Drosophila melanogaster: one gene and its partner. The protein of the gene in region 2 interacts with the protein of the main gene of each other region in a pairwise test. Each region holds a gene or a part of one and is shown on either strand. Other genes may lie near its edges.

Region 1 (3,714 bases), on a different chromosome or scaffold from region 2:
CTCCTCTTCAATAGACTCCTGCCATTCCATGGGCTCGACCTCCATATCGCTGGCCGTCGAGCCATCAAATGCACTTGGATTTGTGATGTTGCAGGCTTCTGGTTGTTTTTCTATCACCTCTTCGTTGATCTTGGCCACAATATTGTTGTTGCGCTCCTCATATAGCTGCTTCTGCTGCAGCGAAGCTCTTAACAGCATGAGACGCTGGTAGGCTAGGGAGACGATAAGGAGAACATGGGATATGAGTAACTATATGCACCGGGCACTCACCAGTTTGGGTACGTCCCGCCTTCAGGCGATTGGCATCGACCAGGGCTTTTGGCTTTTCCCAGGCATTCATCGCCACCTTAGGCGGAAACTTCAGGAGTCGCTGGGGCGTAGATGTGGACGCACTTGATCGACGAGATGCGGAGGAACTGTGGGTGATCCGCTTGGTGGTCCCCTGCTCCTTCTCGTTGTCCTGCACCCGCTTTAGTTGGCCCTGCAGGCGCTTGAGGCGGTCCTGGGCGGGATGCTGGCTCACTCCTTGCCATATTGCGTGGAAAAGTGGAGTTGAATCTTGGTTCTGGCATTCTGGCAAACGCGCAGTTTGCATGGGTTTTACCATTTGACGGACGTGGCGTGCTGATGATCCTAACCAGCTGGTCGTCGTCCAACGGCCTCAGATTGGAAGACTTTGGCGTGTGCTTACTTTCTCCACCGAGCGACATATTGTGTTCTTTAACATTTGATTTCTAGGAAGTACTCATTTATTTTGTATTTCAATAGGCAATCTGACTTAGAGGTGGAGAAACATCGATGACATCATCGATATCATCGATCTTTTCAAACAATCACAAGCATCGATGTTTTTCGAGGAATCATCGATGTTCTTCCATACATCGGAGGACAAAAGTATATAAATTGGGGGTATAAATTAAATTCGGATATAACTTTGTTATGATTTATTTAAAATACTCCTTATTTATATAAGCAATATTTTTTTTTAATTATTATTTATTAAGTGAAGTAATAAGAAATATTAAAAATGAAAATAATCTTAAATTAAACAGAAACAATGTTTTGTTTTTATTTAAAGCATAAATGTTTATGTTCAAATTAATTTAAGTTATAAACCATAAAATAAATTAAATGAGTATATGTAATTCTACGGCATACATTTTGGCGTGGAAGCTAAATACGAATTCATACAATGAATAGCTTATAACTAAAATTTACTGTAATAATCTATAGCATAAGTTGTTTTAAGCCATTGAATTTGAATAGCTAAAGATTTCATTTATAAAGACTTGAATGCTGCCACCTTAATTGTTGCAAAAACATGTTCTTGAAATAATAAGTTGCCAAGTTAGTTAGCTTGCCAAATAAAATCTTCACTGTTTGCCTGCTCGAGGTAATTTATATTTAAAAGTTCTTTCAAAATCTTGCAAATTAATTGCTTGGTAATAAACAAATTGATTTAAATTTAAATTTAAAAAAAAACTCAAAATTTAAAAGCTAAGCCAATGATAGGAGCCCCCTAACCGGTAGGCAGTATTTTCAAGCGGCGCACATACGGTCACACTGCACGGTTTCGAATCGCTTAACAAGTTTTTGCTTAAAAAGCTTTGCCGAGCACTAAGTAACCACCGCCTTTCGCACCCACAACACAACGCCACCAGCCAGAACAATGATCAAGGTACGTGGGGTGCTGTAAATAAGGATCACACTGCGATTAGACGGGAATTAGTGCAGCAAAAGCGGCCGATGACTGCGCGGCCGGGGTGCAAAGTCCAATTGGGATGTGAACTCGTGTCTATTATAAACATGGAGTCCCATAAATAACTGTATCTCTGCCCACAGCGATGTACCTTGTACCCAGCCAACAATTAGCATTACTTCCCCACCGAGTTATACAATAATACAATGCGGCTTATCGGGAAACTGGACACCGAACGCATCGGTCAGCTGCTTTCGAAATAATAAGATAAACCGGCATCGGATTATAAGTTTATCTGCAAATTGAGGATCGTGCTATTTCTATACTAACTTTAACGGACAACTTCTCAATGTTGTTAAAGATAAGGATCTCAGTCCTACAGATCGTATATTTTGCATTCTATATGCTTATTCTGTTAAGATCTCTAAACATTGATGTTGTAGTTGGGATGAAATGGAATGGAGTGCATTTTTAGAATCTATTTCCTTGGATATATACATATATATATAGTTTCTAACCCCATGCCTTTCCCACCCCCAGAACGCCGTTTCCCTGGTGACCGGAGGAGCCTCTGGACTGGGCCGCGCCACCGCCGAGCGCCTGGCCAAGCAGGGCGCCAGCGTGATCCTGGCCGATCTGCCCTCCTCCAAGGGCAACGAGGTGGCCAAGGAGCTGGGCGACAAGGTGGTCTTCGTGCCCGTGGACGTGACCTCCGAGAAGGATGTGAGCGCCGCTCTGCAGACGGCCAAGGATAAGTTCGGTCGTCTGGATCTGACTGTGAACTGTGCGGGCACAGCCACCGCGGTAAAGACGTTCAACTTCAACAAGAACGTGGCGCACCGCCTGGAAGACTTCCAGCGGGTGATCAACATCAATACCGTGGGCACGTTCAATGTGATCCGTCTGTCCGCCGGACTGATGGGCGCCAATGAGCCCAATCAGGATGGACAGCGCGGCGTGATCGTGAACACCGCCTCGGTGGCTGCCTTTGATGGCCAGATCGGCCAGGCGGCCTACTCCGCCTCCAAGGCAGCCGTGGTGGGCATGACCCTGCCCATTGCCCGTGACTTGAGCACCCAGGGCATACGTATCTGCACCATTGCACCGGGTTTGTTCAACACGCCTATGCTGGCCGCCCTGCCGGAGAAGGTGCGCACCTTCCTGGCCAAGTCCATACCGTTCCCGCAGCGCCTGGGCGAGCCCAGTGAGTACGCCCACCTGGTGCAGGCCATCTACGAGAATCCGCTGCTCAACGGCGAGGTCATCCGTATCGACGGTGCTCTGCGCATGATGCCCTAGATCCGGCTGAGCACTGTCTTGGACCTGTGGAAGTGGCTCGATCAGTTTGCATTTATCTATTGTCTAGTGGTTAAGCTGAAAAGTTTTATTATCTGTCCCGAAATTATGTAATAATTGCTATTAAACACACAATGTCACATTTCAAATTTTGGAGGCGCGTCTGCCTGCTGTTCTTCAACACTGGTTATATATAAGGGATAGCTGGGGTGTATTGGCTGCACAGGTCGTTGCAACAGGTGGATTAATTTTTTGTAAGTCAATTTTATTACTGACTTACTATTTGTGCAATTAATTCTTAAGCAACCATGTATTTATAATAAGAAAATAGTTTACTATCATATTTACAAAGTTGGTCTGAGCTTAAATATTTATTGAATAAAAGGGTATTTCTAAGTCGCTAGCCCTTAAGATTTCCCTGTTGTTCCCGCAAGTTGGCAGTTCCGTTTCAAAATGTAAACAACGAACATTTGAAAATCGCTCTTCAGAAGATAATGCCATATCAGCGCTGCTGAGCCGGGAACTTCGTAGGGCAGCTGGCGGGGATCAGGAGAATGTACCCCCTGTCCAGCAAACGGATCGCTTGGGAACACAAGACGCAGAGCAATTTAAGTGGAAGGAATCCCCGGCAGGAGATGATGCACTGGTGGTCAATGAGGATGCATTTTAAGTGAAGAAGAACGAAATGGACACTGTGCTGGACTGTCTATACAGCGATA
Region 2 (7,958 bases):
GATTACAAAACTTACCAATTTTCAGGGTTATTTTCGATGGAGCTGGCAATGTTTTGCCATAATTGTGCGATAGCAAAATGTTTTGTGGCTTGAGATCACGATGCACAATTCCTTTGGTATAAAGTGCTTTCATAGCACCAGCTAGAATTGGGGAAATGGAAATAATGGTATACTTTAACTTCCGATCTTCTGATATTTAATTATAATACATTTCGTTGTTCTAAAGTAATATTAATGTTACAATTTATATTGATCTTTGACAATTATTAGTTAGGGCTACCCCTTATATAGGATTTTCGAATCTCACCTAGTTGCACGAGGAAGAGTCTAACGGTATCCTCGCTGAGCGTCCCCTTGACACTCAGATAATCCGCCAAGTCGCCGCCATTGCAATACTGTAAAGAGAAAGGATGAAGAGCGTGAGTGGAGCTGATTGGGAAATTAAATTAAGAGAGACCCCCACGAGTCAAGAGTTCAGCGCGCATATAAATCTTCTGGGACCCCAAAAGACCTCAAAAGCAGAATGCAACCCATGCAAACGAATTAAGTCCAATCAGTGCGAAAATGAAAGAGTCCCGAGATTTGATTCAGTCGGTCTTTCCATCTTTTAGCTTCCAGCTGCTCGCTCGACTTTTGTGCAAATCCCAGTCAATCATAGAAAACGGCAAGGTCAAAGCGAATATGATTTATGGCAATTTTCTGAATCAAGAACTGGAATTAGGGAAATATGTTTATGGATCAGCCCAGACAGCCAGCTGCTTTTCTTTTGTCGTTTGCCCAACAAAGGTTCTGTTCCGGTTTATGTCAGCAGATGCGGAGAAAGAGTTGGGGTAAAAATAAGCTATAGAATATTGAATATGCTAGGGGAATTTACACTTGGAATTTTAAATACACTTCCATGTAATCTTTAATCTTTGAAGTAAAGCACCAGTTAGGTTTTTTAAAAATGCCCGTTCACTGCAGTGATTTTTCCATACTCATTTGAGAATAATTAATAATTTTCTCTTTTAATATATAATATAATATAATATTATAATAATAAGCCATTGATAAAGTATATGATAGTGAATGCTAAACAAAAGGCAACAAAATGTTCAAATAAAATATAAACCTCTAAGCATTCGAAAACAGCAAAAAGGAATATCAGTTATCATGAAGAAGTTTTTGAAAAACTTGAAAATGAAAATAGAATATCCCGATATGGGAGAACTTTGTAAGCAGCCCTCGCTAAAATGTAAATGAAGAGAACGAACCCCTGTCTCTCCAAAATGCCGTTATATTTTTGGCCTGAGCAAGTTGCCTAAAAGGATTTGCGATTTTTGACCTTGAGGCCGCCAATCGAAGACATGACTATAGAATTCCACACGAACACAACCACCAAAAACCAACAAAAGTAATGTGCGCGGCGAACATTTTTATCCGCTTTTATGGATTTTTTGTTTTTCATGAGAAAATATATGGACCACTTACAGTTTAATGAGCAAACAAAGCAACATTAGGCAATTAAACAGCCAATTTGAAATGACAAAAGATTTCACTGCACTCGCTTTTTGTGAAATCGCTAAAATCGCCGAAGAGAAGCGAAGAGCGAAGAACATTAAACAAAAAGTCATTGACATGTAAAGTACATAAACATAAACATAAAAGTAAAAGTTTGAAGGAAATGGTGGAATACTCGCAACGAAGAGGGTTTTTCTTCCTCTGGGGCTTTTTAACAATTTCTAAATTATATGCAATGCCATTTCCCGGCAACAAGTGCCCATGAGTCAGCGATTTATTGAAAAATGCACTTGCGTAATTAATGGGCTTCTCTGTTTTTTCTTTCTTTTTTAAATATTATTTTGAAGAATCAAGTGTGAAGAGAGCGATTCGAAAGCTAAGAGAAGACTCTCTTCAGCCGCTCTATTTCAACTTACTCAATTTTTAAGCTCGCAACTTCTGCGGTTCCGTTCGCAGCTCATTCTCAAATCGACGGTGGCATGAGTCGCACGTTATCGCGCGACAACAAAAAGCCAAGTTAGCAAATCATTAAGTATAATTTAAACGCGATACTCCTCCATTCAGTAGAATTCGATGAGAAAACTCTCTAGTGTAATACCCAATTTAGTACATATATTATCGAGAAAAACGACGACGCGTGTCATTCGAAGTAAGCGCAGTGGACTAAAGGTCAACATATTCTAGGCGATAAAAAGAACGCTGCTGCTATACATTGTTCATCGCAATCACAACACAAAGACCTAGAAACGGGATTAAAACAAGAGTTTAACTTAGCACTCGGTGAAACAAATATTCAAACAAACTTTTCACTCAAATCACGTCCAATTTAATCGCTATGATTCAGCCAGCCAAGTGTTTCACATTTTTCCAGCAAATTATGTAAATAAACTGTGAAAGCTTCCCTTTTTTCATATCAAAAGGCGGGCCGACCGACTTATAAGTCAAGTCCAAAGCAAAGTTCATTACGATCGGCGTTAATTCTAATCAGACAAGTGTGTAATTAATTTTATTAATATTACAAGCCGTCCTAAAGATTTCTTTGTACTTCCAAATCTGCTGCTTAAGTTATTATGTTGAAAATATGGCAATTGAAATTTTAATTTCTAATGTGATGTAATGCTTATTAATTAAGATAGGATTACCCAAACCGATTAGCCTTTATTTACGGTGCTTAAAGTGTGAGTTTGCTCTTTCTGTTTTCATTGAAAACATGAATTCCATAATTGTTACTATTGATAATAATCGATTAGTAAGTCAGAAGTTGGTTAAAAGCTAAGCAGAAATCGCGAGGGTATGAGACAAAGCAATTAAATATTAAAAACTGATAAGATAACCACGGCTAAACATTAAACTTAACATGAGAGAGTTTGGAAGAGAGAGTGAGAGTAAAGAAAAAGAGATAATATTTGCCGCTCTTCGAAGCTCTCACACACACACCTGTTCAGTCAGTCGAACGGAATGGGAATTGTTGGCGAATTTTTGCTCATTCGAGAATCGGCAGCGAGTGGAAAAGTTTGTGCGAGCGGAGTGAAAAATAATTATTTTACTTTTGCCAAAAGTAAGCCGGCAAATGTAAATGGACATTAATCAACTTTGAAGCTGTAATTTCAAAGCAAAACAGATGAATATTAAAAGTGCAAAGTGAAACGAGAATAGCGGTGCAAAAATAGGCCCCTAACACCTAATAAAATCTATTTTCAGCTTGAAAATTTTCACATCAAGTTTGGCAAAAACGACGAAAATGCTATGAAAACCCTGAGATAAACACAAATACAAACAACACGACGCCTTGAAGACGCAGTGAAAACAAAGCTAAACAAATATCAGTAAACAAATAATTCATAATAATGCACGTGTACTACAAGTTTGGATTACTGCTGATATTTTTGCTAAGCGTGAGGTAAAAATCAAGTTGTAATAAATATTTACAGATCTCGATATGTGGAGAAATCACATTTGTTATTCTTATGGGGCTGGAAAATAAGTAATCCATTTATTTATAGAAATCAGTAGACCCTTTCCTAAAAACGAAAAACAGGGAAGACACGGGGCAAAGTTTCCGTTTAGCAACATTCGCAGTGATTAATTCACTAAAAACGAAATAACGACAGGTGAACCAGGGTAACGGGACTTTGACCCGCCCACAACTGAGATATCAATGCCAAATGGAATACTCACGCATGGGGTTATAAAAAAAAAACAGCAACATTTTATTGATAGTCCACGGCAACCGCTCTTAATTGCCGCCTTTAATATATATATAAGGTGCACGAATTTACACTCTACTTAATCATATCGCATAATCTGGTTCTGATAAAAATAATAACAATTCCCCGGTTGTCCGATAATTTATACCGTTATTGCTTATCAAATTGTTTGCTCAGCGTTTTGAATTTCTCAACCAATATCTCAAGCAATATTGCAAATGACATAGAAATTTATAACTGTCTCGATTTTCAGATTTTTCTTTTAATTTACAACTGAAACGAGGTTTAGACATTATCGATTATGTATAAATATTCTATATTCTTGCCCTAAAAAAAATCTTTTTAAATACTTCTGAGTTTTAAAACCTAAGATAAAATTCTTTAATCGTTCTTTGCATGTTAGTACTAGTATAATTTTCCCAGTGCACATAAGCCCATTTCTCTATTGATTTTTGGGCCTTTTTAAACCTTTTCAGCCACTCGAAATCAAATGTCAAAGTAGAGTGCTTTTAAGTGCGACGCTTCCAATTTTAGTCACTTCATTCAAGTAGTCAAGGGAATTACGTCGACTAGGTCGTCATGCTTAGTAACAGTTTAGAGATCTTTCGTAATACCCATTAACTTCGGCGAGCAGCTGAAGCTTGAAGGCAATTCGTAACGTTCGATAAATATATCTTTATTATCCGGTAGGACTATATACCAATTAATAGCTACATATCAGCACTTGCGGTTCAAGTACTCGACTCTATAAAGTCGTTCATTCTGTTCATTTTGGCACTTTTAAGGATTGACAAGGCTCCTCAGCAGCATTCATTGAAACTTCACTCAAAAGTCACGCAATTGAAGAGAACTCTACATGGCAGTCAAAAGACTCACTTGAACTACTCTACTAGCCAATTTACACCTTTTTTTCTAAAAGTAAATACAACCCACTAGAACTGAAGTCGCCGAATGCACGGATAACGAACGATTTAGAATCAGACAAAAAAAAAAATGAAGAGGGGTCACAAATGACAGCAAAAAAATAAAATAAATCTGAAAAAAGTGAGAGTAAACGAAATCGTAAACTAAAACCGGTCGAGTTGTCTCTTTTGCCATGAAGTAAACTGGTTTCATCTGTGCTTTTTACTGAGTAGCTACAGTACGTTTCGAAAATGTAAGGTCAGTTAACAGAAACAAATAAACAACTTTACAGACAATAAAAGTGCTTGAGTTACAATAAAAGAAATGTGTGCTTTCTTTATTTTCTTTAGCTTGAAAGTATATCTATTTGATTTTACTTTATTCTTAAAAAACGAAAGGCAAAATATATTTTACAATATATGCATAATCTAATGAATTGCATTAAGAAGCCTTGTATCATTGAATACTTTTAATTCATTTAAGGGCTATTGCTGTGACCACGACTGTAGCGAGAAATACTTTGTATGTAGGCTTGTTCGCACATGTGAGTGTATTCATTCATGTTCTTTCGCGGAGCAAACATAAACAATAGCCGTATAATGATAGTGGGGAAAACGAATGTTTCTGTGTGGCTATGGCGTGGTCATAACGATATGGGTCAAGAGCGTTTTCAGGACAAATTAGCTAGGTGTGTTCGCCTTCAAGACGTGAGTGATGTAAGCACGTACCGCTTAGAACCCACCGACAATCTAAAGCCAAATATTGACAATTTTGGGTATTTGGTAAAACCACTTAACGAATTCGTACAGTAATTGCTCTATCAGAAATGCGCATTCGTTTGACATATAATTGCCCTGCGTTTTTCTTCATAAGCAATGTGAATTCGTTTATAAGTCGTGGAAAAAACCAAATTGGTATATTGTTGGTTTATTCAGTCGAGACCGGAAAATAATTTAATGATTACTCTTACAGCATCAGCCACACAAATGCCGCTCCAGCGGGCAGTGAGGAGGCAAATCCCCTCGAGGACTTTAATTACGGCGATGATGACTACAGTGAAACAGCGACGGGCGAGGAATCGCCGGAGACAGCAGAAAATAGACTGATGCCACAATCATCCTCCACATCGACCACCACCACATTTCGACCAATATTTAGTGAGCATAACATAAATCTATATATTCCGAACTGAAAAGGCTAATGAATATCGTTTTGCAGATATACCACGACGCAGCAACCATGTCCTGGAGCCCAGTTGCCCGCGCAACTGCCTCTGCCTGGAGGACTTCAAGTTCGTTCAGTGTGCCAATGCCCATTTGACCCATGTACCCCTGGACATGCCCAAAACGGCGGCCATCATCGATCTGAGCCATAATGTGATTGCCGAACTGAGGCCGGAGGATTTTGCCAATCTGTCCAGGGCGGTGGAAATCAATTTGAATCACAATCTGATCAGCAGCATAGACAAGGATGTAAGTGCCCAGCTAATTCTACTAATTAGATAAATTGTAACTAATGTGCTTATTATCTATTGTAGGTCTTTCAGGGATCGGAGCGTTTGAAGCGCCTGCGGCTGGCCAACAACCGTCTAACCAAAATCGATCCCGACACCTTTGCGGCGGCCAAGGAACTAACGCTACTCGATTTGAGCAACAACACCATAACCCAGCGCCTGGACGGATCCTTCTTGAACCAGCCCGACTTGGTGGAGTTCAGCTGCGTCAACTGCAGCTGGACGGAACTGCCGGAACAGACGTTCCAGAACATGAGTGGCCTGGAGGTGTTGCGCTTGAACAAGAACGATTTTAAACAGGTAAGAATGGCGAGCCAAAAGTGCGATAGCACAAGTTATCGCTCTATCGATAGTTGGCGCAACTGAAGCCAAAACAGCTGTGTTTGCCATCGCGCAGTTGTCTATATAGTTGTCCCGCTCACGCTTTTCCATTCCGACAGCAAATCAATACGAAAGCTTTCTCGCCGCTAACAAAAATAATTAAACTGAAGCTGCCGGAACTGGAACAACAGAACATCGAGGAGCTGTGCAGCCTGCTGACCTCCATCGACACGATTAGCTTCCTCAACTACGACATCAGCTGCTACGAATTCGTACTGGGCACCCCCTTCAACGGCAGTCTCATCTATCCCACGGAGCCGCCGCTCAAGGGGATTACAAATCCGCCCATCGTCGCCAGCATCACCAGCACTGCAAAGCCAGTGACCGCCACACCCGCACCGCCCAGAAGTGGTGAGCTATTTCCCATGACTCGTAGATCATCTTGCTAACGTGTCTGTTGCTCACCTCCCATTGTTCGCATTTAGCCAATCGCAATCGGGGCAAAATGGACAACAGCACGGAGCTGGTCAAAGCCGGAATCCTGAGCTCCGAGACCAGCACAAGCGGAGTCAGCGTGGAGCCGCCTGCCGAGAGCCAGACCAATCAGGTGCAGATCTCCCAGGAGGCCATCAACACGCTGCTCATCTGTGAGTACAAACTGCGGTTTAAGGTTTATAACATCAACTATTTTAAGCATCTTGCTAAACAGTTATAGTTTGAGTTATACACCTTTTACTTGCGGTACAAAACCAGACTAATTTGTTCAATTTAATCCACTAGGCATCATGGTTCTGGCCGTGATTGGCATCGTCATCGGACTCATTTGCCGCCAGGATATTGGCGGCATCAAAACCAAATGCTGCCGCACTAGCAAACCAGAGCCAAAGGATCAGGTTCATCCCACTGAGGAGATACCACTGAATAAGCTAGCCTAAGAAAACTTTCCAAAACAAACCGAAACCAAACGATCGAAGATGAAAAGAGAATCCTATCCTTCTCCTCCAGTTTCGAGAACAAATTCCATTTTGACGGCATTTTTGATAGATTATAAATAGGTATATGTATATCACGTATGTATATGGCTAGTTAGTTAACTACTTTGACGCGGTATCTAGCCTAACTATATAGTCTCTCCTACAATGTTTCCCGCACAACAACTGAACCGAATCCGTTGTTAGATTCTAGTTGTTAGTCGGAGTAGGTTAAGCCGCCTAGTCGCTTAGCGTTCTGTTCTTTAGGGGGACTCGGTAAATGGGATCCCGCACCAAAACTCCTGGCACTGTTCTAGTTTTAGATCCCAAAATCAATTTTCATCGCAACACTTAAATTAATGTAAACCCATAGATACACTAGTTGTTAGCTTTAGACTTTTGCCAAAATACAATAAAAGTAATTATTGTACATAGTAAAAAAAAAGAAAACCATTGTTTTGAATTATGAAACCAAAAGATTAAAAAGATTACATCTGATAGACTTGATTATTTACCTATATACTCTCCTCATATCACATTCCT

Evidence for each region. The genes of interacting proteins can lie anywhere in the genome.
Region 1: the proteins of CG42709 (region 2) and scu interact in a two-hybrid assay, tested with the Drosophila melanogaster proteins (one large-scale study listed by BioGRID).

The regions. Positions count from the first base shown.
Region 1 is NC_004354.4:18,089,713-18,093,426, forward strand, and holds scu (scully), read left to right. Parts: upstream 1-1,546; 5' UTR 1,547-1,669; coding exon 1,670-1,678; intron 1,679-1,842; exon of another isoform or gene 1,843-1,942; intron 1,943-2,239; coding exon 2,240-2,998; 3' UTR 2,999-3,141; downstream 3,142-3,714. Other genes in the region: Swt1 RNA endoribonuclease, read right to left, coding at 1-212, 271-525, 605-710. UniProt on the Drosophila melanogaster protein: Mitochondrial dehydrogenase involved in pathways of fatty acid, and steroid metabolism.
Region 2 is NT_037436.4:12,788,234-12,796,191, forward strand, and holds CG42709 (uncharacterized protein), read left to right. Parts: upstream 1-1,958; 5' UTR 1,959-2,149; intron 2,150-2,984; exon of another isoform or gene 2,985-3,201; 5' UTR 3,202-3,347; coding exon 3,348-3,400; intron 3,401-5,582; coding exon 5,583-5,767; intron 5,768-5,828; coding exon 5,829-6,082; intron 6,083-6,147; coding exon 6,148-6,423; intron 6,424-6,563; coding exon 6,564-6,855; intron 6,856-6,929; coding exon 6,930-7,091; intron 7,092-7,224; coding exon 7,225-7,379; 3' UTR 7,380-7,851; downstream 7,852-7,958. Other genes in the region: Atg1 (Autophagy-related 1), read right to left, coding at 16-141, 308-395.